Arabidopsis thaliana: one gene and its partner. The protein of the gene in region 2 interacts with the protein of the main gene of each other region in a pairwise test. Each region holds a gene or a part of one and is shown on either strand. Other genes may lie near its edges.

Region 1 (4,115 bases), on a different chromosome or scaffold from region 2:
TTAAAAAAGAGTATGATCTCACTTTTGAAATCAGGAGACGTTTTCATCGTTGTGAAGGAGAAAGCTAAGCGTGTGAGACGAATGTTAAAACTAGTATATATATATTCGAATTGTTTAGTTAGTTACATATTATGCAGCATTTACGAAACACGTACTAAAAGCTATTATTAATAGTCAACTCAACTAAAACCATACGAGGAATAAAGTCCCAAGGTAAATTGGTAATTCGTGATAATCTCAAAGATATGGTCAACGAATATTATCACATTGCAAAAATGGATAATATTATCACGTCAACTAAGGTCGTATTCAATCTCCAAAAATACGCAGAGTAATAAATTAGTCAATAAGAGAGTGTGCCCAGTACGTTTATTTTTCTTTTTTCAGTTATTGTATATATTTTTATTTGTGAAATTTGTTTTTTTTTTCAGTTATATTATGTCAATTTTAGAAATACAAGAGAAAATGTGATGGATATAAATAAGTAACAACAAAAAATTGGAGTTACTAACCCTGAAATAAAGCCTACTCCTAATTTGGTATAAATTGATCTCATATTTTATACACTTGATAACTATCAGTCTACCAATAATTATTGAGCATACATTCTAACTAGAAAATGAACCATCTCTATCAATTAATATAAAAACTATATATTATAACGTAAATATAACGTTAGAGGAGGTTAAGAAAAAAAGAATTCTGAAAATTAATGCGAAACAAAACAAATATAATAGTAAGAGTTTTAAAAGTTTTAACCAGTTACTAAATCTAAAAACCTACTACGACTAACAAACAAAAAATCAAATTTGTAATTTAAAACATACATAACCCGTTAACATACTAACTGGTGATAAATCTGAACCGGGTCGGATCCTAATTCTGCTCCTTTAAAAACCTTCCACAATTTCTTCAAAAACTCGAGACAACCTGAACCGTCTGAACCGGCTGGTTCAAACCGGTTTCTTCAGCACCGTCAGAAGTCTCTTTCTTCCTACGCATCTCAATGACTTTACTGTGGTGGTTTGAGTGAAGCTCACTCGAAAATGTTGGGCTACAAGCGGGTCTATATTCGGGTAGTAACCGACCCGATTTGTAACGCACACCACACGCATTACACAACGTCTTCGCTCCTAATGGTCCTGCTCTCCACTGCGGCGTTTTCTGAACTCCACAATGACCACACTGCCGCGTCTGCGTCTGCGTTTGCGTTTGCGTCTGACCAGCGTTTTTCCAAACTTTCTTCTTCTTTTGTGTTTTAGTCATTGGCTCATCAAGAAACTGACCGCTGGCGAGCCATAGAGGGCTTGAAGGACGAGGAGAGGACGACGAAGATGTTGTAGAGCTTGAAGATGAGTCGGTTAACGACTGCGAACCATGAGACCAGACTCTGACTCCGGTTCTGGCTCGTTTGGGTCTGGTTTTGACGGCCGGATGTTGGGATTTGAAGCAGGTCTCCTCTTTAACCGGTTGTACAAGATGTCTCCGATTTCCGGTTAACCAAACCGGTTTATTCGTCGGAGCAGAATACGGCGTGAAAGAAGAATCATCTACGAAATTTGATAACCATTCAAGTTCCGCTATATCATCCATCTAACAATCAAAACATGAAAAGCAAGAAATTAACAATGCAATGACTGATAATTTTTATAAATTTTGCGAAAATGAAAACACAAATTCATACCGGAACGGAAAGCCCGCTAGTGTGGAAATCAGCGGTGGAGAAATCGTTGCTCCGGTGAAGGGTATTTTCGTCAGAGACTCCTCTTTTTCGTTGTACTTTCAATTCAGCCTCATCCTCAACCAAAACGTCGTCGTCTTCTTCTTCTTTTGAGAAGTCAAGCAAGTCGTCGACGGAGAAATCATCGCCATTTTGAGCGCCGCCGGTTAGGGTTTTGTCTTTCATGTTACTGTTCTTCAACGTCAATTCAACACTCTCCATTATTTCCTATCAAACCCCACCAACACAAATTAGGTTTTCTTCTTTTCTTTTGGCTTCCTCAGAATTATCAAAAACTCTCCAAAAATTATCTTTAAAAAAAAAACTCCCCCCGAAAAAAAAAACGTTCCTTTATTTTTCCAAATTCAAACAGAAAAACCCAAAAGAAAAATCACGAAAACCCAGAACCACAACTTGGTGAAACGAACCATGATTTGACTAAGCCACAGATAAAAATTCAATCTTTTTCAAACAATGTGACGAGTAAGTAACCTTCAAAAAAAACTAAAATTGGAATTACCTGAGATGAGAAGAGACAGAGAGTGAAGAGAGGAGATATGTCGGTGAATGAGAAGAAGAAGAAGAGTGGTGAGAATTTAGAAGAAGAGGTGAGTTTGGTAAAGCATTGAATATGATAGTGACTCCAGACCAAAGCCCTCTTCTCCTAAAACTAAAAAAGTTGTGAGTTTCTCTTCTTTATTCTTTCTCAATCTCTTATTTTCCCAAGAACCAAAAAAAAAAGATAAAAATTGAAATATTTTGCTTTGGTGGGAACTATTTTTTTTTACCTTTTTACTCAACCGGCAAAAATTCATAAAAATGTCTACTTTTTGTAAATTCAAAGCGTACATACGCGCTACTGTGAAACGAGAGATGACTGAAAAAAGAACGGTCTCGTTTTCGTTACCCAATCACATACATATTTGGGCTGTATTGGGCTATGTTGGGCTGGGCTTTCTGAAATTTTACGATTTGGGTATCTCATTAACAATGGCTTTTCTCCTCCCGTCTTCTTCAATTCAAAACTGTTTGTGATGATTACTCAGCGATATGCGATTAAAAGCTTCAAATTTGCAGAAACCCATCTTCTTCAGCTCCTACTCTGCCCATGATGTCAGATTCTCTTCTTTCTTAACCTCTCTTTTGAATTCATATGTGGGCTTAAGATTGTTGGTTTCATTTCATGTCTACTTTATTCCTTTTGTAATTTGACTTTTCGCTACCTGTCAATAGCTTATGGTGAATTTGGCTTGTGGTATCGCTAAAGCATCATAATCTCTTCTTCATTACTGCTATGTTTCTACTTGTTGGAACAAAATTTCATTTATTGGTGTGCCTTACTTTTCCCAGTGAAATGATTCATAGCCTTACAAGAGAATATCATAACCATGTTAAAAAAAGCAATATGAAGTAAGGAAAACAAAAATGTTCTAATTAGTCTATATAGTTTAAGAAGACTAAAGCTATTTCTTATACTGACAAATTCTTTTGGGGATTATAGATATGAGTAGTGTGTTGTATTATAATGATGCTTCTGCTACTTTCAAATGCAGATTCTCAGAGCGTCTTTCATTGAGAAGTTTCTGGTCTCCAGAATCCTTTTTGTGCACTTAAGATTCCTTCTTGGTGTTTGGAGAAAGTTAAGTGAACATCCCAGTGCAGTGACTTCAACATGTTCTCAACTTCTCTTATCACATTTGATTCGTCACGAACTATTAGTTTACCTCCTGGTCTTACTATTCTATCCACTTCTGCCATTACTGGAACAAGATTGCACCTTTCAAAACAAAACAAAACAAGAGACTTATTGTTGATGAAACGTTACCAAAAGGTGTGGATATTATGAGTTACGCTTATACCTTGTTCTCAACTTTGAGAAAAGATGATCTGCATGTAAGAGATCATAGCTTCGAGGGTATGTGCTAAATGATTCACACCAGTCATGATATATTCCGAATAGGCCTCTCTCGTAGATTATCGGTAGTGTATCTGGTGAATTTATGTTTACTACATTCATTACCCACACCTGTAGGTCCTTCAGAGCTGCTGCAAACCTGCATTTTTACGTAGTTAGTAAAAAAAGGTTTAGTTTTGGTAAGTGAGATTTTAGTTTGATTTGTTTTCGTTGATGCTCACCCTCCGTAGACAGCTCGCATGTCCATTACATTCCTCACATTTGACCAGCTGATTCCTATTTCATTCATGTATACTTTGCTTACAACATGTTTCCAGTGTTCATAATCTGTAGTGAAATCTCGAGGAGCTGGTTTCCCATATATCCCCATTTGAGAGCTGTTTAACCAGTAAGGCGGTGTTTGAAGCCGACGGGGCCAATTCACGGGCCACTTGCTTCCTCTCTCGACCACATTGGTAGGAACTTTATGCATACATGCTT
Region 2 (5,204 bases):
TCCACTTTGATTCCAACTAAAGCTTCCTAATTGAAAATATGAATCTGAAAATATAAATCATAACTTCCGCACAATAGAATCCAAACAGACAAGCAATTATGTTAAATGACAAGGAAAAGTATTGAACTTGACACGACTCTCTTAGCAGCTCGTAACAAGTACTAAAGAATCAATGTATCCATGCAACATTTTTGACATATCATGATATCACTCATAGATACTTTAACAAAAGCTTTTCTTTCGTTTTTCCATTATCACATCATAAGATTCATCTAGAAATCTAAAACTGACAACAACAAAATAAGAACAAACCTTGGCACTGCTCATTGTTGTAGGTGTGCCTTCTGATCTATGAAACACGACCTTTGGTGAATATAGCCATCAACGTAGGCACCAGCTCGTTGTGCTTCATAACAAACACGACTTTTGGTGAAGATAGCCATCAACGCAGGCATCAGCTCGTTGTACTTCATCACATACCAATCTAAAAATCCTTCATCGACAAAACAGAGGACACTGCAGGTAGCTCACTTCTCTTTCTGAGCAGTCCTTTCCACAAGAGAGCTTTGAGTACGTTACACCTTGGTATAAAAGGTTTTCAGAGTAAAGTATTGAACTTGAAACGACTCTCTTAGCAGCTCAACAAGATTAAAAAAGGTCTCAAGCTTCTTCGGTTTCCACTATGATAGCTATATTCCAGAGTCCTAATGATATCAGATAGCATTTAAGTGTCTCAGTGATATCCAATCAAGTAAAGACCAATATTACCAATATGACAAAAACGAGCAATGTGGAATCATATGATCCAAAAACTTATGACAGAGACGAAGCAAATCACTTGCAAAAGAATCTCACCGTAGCAAGATTTTAAAGTATCATAAGAGAAGTTGGCTCTATTCCCAAAACTATGAATTGTAGTGAAATTAAAGCCTCCCAGTAAGACCAAATACCAAACACTAATAAAGAAACAAAAAAGGCTTACATGACCAATCCAAGAGCTCAGGAGCTGCATTGCATCATTCCAAATTTCAATCCATATCTGCAGTTCAAAAAACCATGATACAGAAATAAGACAATACATGATCCAAACTCAAGACGTATAGAGACAGTCAAGAAACCTTGTGTGCAATGCAGCTCCTGAACAAGGTCAGTAAAAATTCAAGAGTCAAGACGAACAAGGTCAGCAAAAAGTGAGAAGAAAAATTATTTAGAAAACTAAAGTCAGCAAACACATAGTTTGGATTCACATGTCTACTAATTGGCTGCATTGCCGTTTCTAAGCTACCAATCTTGGTAATATATCATAAAAGATTCAACATTACATTAAAAGTTACATTTCCAAGTTGGATAGCTTTTGAAGTCTAAAATCAAGGTTTCAGAAATTCAAAAATAAAAGCAAAATCCTTGACAAGACTTCTGATCTATGAAACGCGATCTCCGGTGAAAATAGCCATCAACTCAGGTACTATCTTCTTGTCATCATGGTTCTTCACATACCTGCATAAGAATTCTTCATTGGTACATACCAAAACAGACGACATTCCAGGGAGTTCACTTCCAAGCGATCCTTTGGACATGAGAGCTTTAATTACATTACACCTTGGGATAGTCCTCTTCTCTAAGCTGTATCCAAGTACCGCAGGGGTTGAAACCACAGCCTTTAGTGGCCAATTCATCTTCTTCACCAGAAACTCAGTCTTTTTCTTCACTGTCTCTGCAGATAAAATAAGGCATTGAGGAAAGCGCTTGGCTATCATTGCAACCTCATCTCTGCTAAATCCTAAGCCTAGAAATGTTTCAATGGAGTTCATTATCTTCTGCTCTGAAGCATTAATGCATTGTGGAAACTTCTTCAACACTGAGAGGACATCGTCTTCGAGTAGTCCACACTTCTTCAGGGTTTCCCAAGTTTGAACTATCTTGTTCTCAGAGAAATTCAGAAAGGAAGGACACTTCTTAAACATTGCCCATACATCTCCAACAGAAAAGCCTAAACTTTTACAGACATTAACTTTTGCTTCTATAGTTTTGTCGCGGAATCTGTAAACAACCCTAAGAGCTTTGACAAACTTTGAGGTGGTTGGATCAAAACCCATCTCAACAACTTTCTTGAGTGATTCTTCAAAATTTTCTTTTCCACAGACAGGTTGGTGATCAGATATAAGCAATGGGAACAACAACCTTTGAGGAACACCCAATTCTCTCAAAACCAAAACATTTCTGATTTTGTTCTCCTGCTTACTACCCTCTGGCAAAGAATGACATAACTTTTCGAACTTGGAACTCTTATCCGCTTCTATAATCTCTTTAACAAAATCATAGTATATGCTGATAGTTTTGTCCCCTCTCTTCCCCAAGATTTCAGGAACTGTAGATACAATATGAGTGAGCTCAGACCTTGAAGCTCCTCTGGACTGCAGAAACTGAAGCTTGGGACCAATTGATTTCTCAGCATCAGCTACTAGCAATTGTGGATAATCCGTAATGATGCTTGAGATCTGAGAATCAGTGAACCCATGACTTCTCAATAGACTCAGAACAGAATCAGGATTGCCTTTGTCCTCGAAGCTGACTTTCTTTGAGATCGATTCTGCGACCTTTTTAGGTAAACCCAATGAATCAACGAGGTAAGAGACAGAAAAACTCAACCCTTTTCGACCAGCTCTAAGGCTCGCATCTGTAGCATTAGCATAGGAGAAGGAATTGGAAAAAGGAGATGCCTTTTCGAGGAGGTTCACTGGAACGCTTAAATGACGACATTTCTTCAACTGGACCAACCTTTTTCCATGGAGTATCAGAGAATACATGACGGGAGGCTCAGAAGCAATCTATCTGATTCTTCAGTTCGTGAAAATGGATCGACCAGGCTACGAAGATTAGTCTCAAAATTCAAAAGTTACAGTGAACCATAGATCGAGTGCCGCCAAAGATCGACGGGTGGTCGACTATCAAAATCTCATGAAATCCAAAATCACACAGACCGACCCTAAATTGGGGAATGAGGAGTAAAAAAAAAGGTATGATTTTTAGGGTTTATGATTCTTCGTTAATGATTTGAAAATATTTTTGAATATAAAATACAAATAACATCAAAAGTAACATATCGGACTCACTGACAGAGTTCAAGGTTTCGGAAAAGAGATTGAAATTGAAAATATAGTTATTTTCCAAGTCGGAACTGCACACAAAAAGAAACATGTCGTCAAATTACAAAAGTAAAAATCGGGCTTTCCGAGATTCATACATAAAAGGTAAGATCCTTGACAAGACTTCTGATTTATGACACAACCTCAGGTGAAGGTAGTCGTTTTGCCATTCTACAAAACACTTGACAAGACTCCTGATCTAACGTGCCATAGGAGCCATTTCGGTGTTTGTGCTCACTTCACTGGAATTTTTTGACCTCACATCTTGACTGATTTCTCTTCTTGAGTTCTCGTACAATAGATACTCATTTAGTTCATGAACAATTTGAGCCATGTTTGGTCTTTCTGCTAAAGAAAGTTTCGAACACAACATCGCTAGTTCAAGAACTTTCCAGGCAGAGCTAGAGTCATATTTCCCCTTAAGGTTTGGATCCATTACACTTTCGATATCACCTATTGAAAGCATATACCTCACCCATTCTGCTATATGAGGCCTTTCACGAGTTTGATCAATCACAAGTTTGTTTGTGATGATTTCTAGTAAGACAATACCGAAACTGTAGACATCACTCTTCTCGGACAACCGCTGTGTTTGGTAATATCTGCAAAAGGATGGTTTGTAGGAGTTTTGTGATAACTAAAGAAGGAAGATAACAAGAATTAGAAGCTGGTGACATAAAGCTATAACAATGCTTACTCAGGATCGAGAAATCCATGAGTTCCGACAACAACTGTCGACACATGAGTTTCACCCCCGATAGGGAAAGATCTCGAAAGTCCAAAATCACCGAGTTTTGCCTGAAAGTCTTCATTCAACAATATATTTGTGCTTTTAACATCTCTATGAATCATCGGTGGTTTGCATCCTGTGTGCAAGTATTCCAATCCTACAAAGTGATATGATTAACAAGTTAAAAAGTTGATGGAAATTCGAAGGGAATATGAACACAACTGTATATAGAGTGATCTTTGAAGATGGATTATGACAAAACACAAACCAAGTGCAGCTTCTGCAGCTATTTTTAGTCTACATGGCCAGTCCAAGAATGAGGAGCCTTCTTTTCCTGTATTAACCAAGATATGTTATTGACATCGAAACAACATAATACTCAAATCATTAAGTTAGGTGGTGTGGATTTATGTTTACCTGAGAGATGCTCTTTTAAGTCTCTATTCTCCATGAACTCATAGATCAGTGCTAAGTGGTTGCTGTCATCACAATATCCAGCAAGGTTTACCAGGTTTACATGATGAACTCTCATTAAAAGTTCAACCTAGGAAGCGATTTTGACCATATGCAAAAACATCTTAGCCCGTTGAAGCATGATTTTAAAAGATATATTTGTGAGGATGATATATTAAACATACAGTACCTCAGCCTTGAACTGCTTGTATCCTTGGGATGATGATTCAGATAGTACTTTAACAGCTACTTGCTGGCCATCGTTCAGATGACCGTGATAGATGATTCCAAACCCTCCTTCACCAATAATTTTCTTGAAATTATTTGTCATTGCCATAACCTCTGAATAAGTAAATCTTCTCTTTACTGTTTCGATTGATGAGTGTGGAGCTGCAAGCAAGAATTCAACAAAATCTATGTAATAACTCGATAGTTTTTTATGGTACTTAATCAAATATCTAGATTGATGAGTTTGCTGCAAATACAATACCCTCTCTACTTGGTGGCTTTCTTCGAAGGCAGATGAAAAGGACACCAAGAACAACCAGGACAATGGCGATGGCAGAAGCTGAGGCAACAACTGCTACTAATGGAAAATTCTTTTTCCTGTGTGAAATAAACTCATAAAGTTTTGTGTTTCCATGAAACCTACAAAACAACAGACATTTCTACAATTACTTATAACACAAAGAGTAGTTGGATAAGAGCCAGCAGGAAATTACAAGAGGAAAGTTTACTTTAAATCCAATCCTTCCTTTCGTCTATCAAGAAGAGCTTGTGGAATCGGACCACTTAAACTATTATTGCTTAAGTCTCTGTTATCAAAGAGACGAATTATGTCAAGATTAGCAGGATATGGAAGAAAAAAACTATTA

Evidence for each region.
Region 1: the proteins of AT1G62085 (region 2) and GATA6 interact in a two-hybrid assay, tested with the Arabidopsis thaliana proteins (one large-scale study listed by BioGRID).

The regions. Positions count from the first base shown.
Region 1 is NC_003074.8:18,971,466-18,975,580, reverse strand, and holds GATA6 (GATA transcription factor 6), read right to left. Parts: upstream 2,456-4,115; 5' UTR 2,241-2,455; intron 1,949-2,240; 5' UTR 1,943-1,948; coding exon 1,685-1,942; intron 1,594-1,684; coding exon 913-1,593; 3' UTR 689-912; downstream 1-688. Other genes in the region: AT3G51070 (S-adenosyl-L-methionine-dependent methyltransferases superfamily protein), read right to left, coding at 3,290-3,497, 3,580-3,774, 3,857-4,115. UniProt on the Arabidopsis thaliana protein: Transcriptional activator that specifically binds 5'-GATA-3' or 5'-GAT-3' motifs within gene promoters. May be involved in the regulation of some light-responsive genes.
Region 2 is NC_003070.9:22,947,336-22,952,539, forward strand, and holds AT1G62085 (Mitochondrial transcription termination factor family protein), read right to left. Parts: upstream 3,110-5,204; 5' UTR 2,808-3,109; coding exon 1,422-2,807; 3' UTR 983-1,421; intron 705-982; 3' UTR 508-704; downstream 1-507.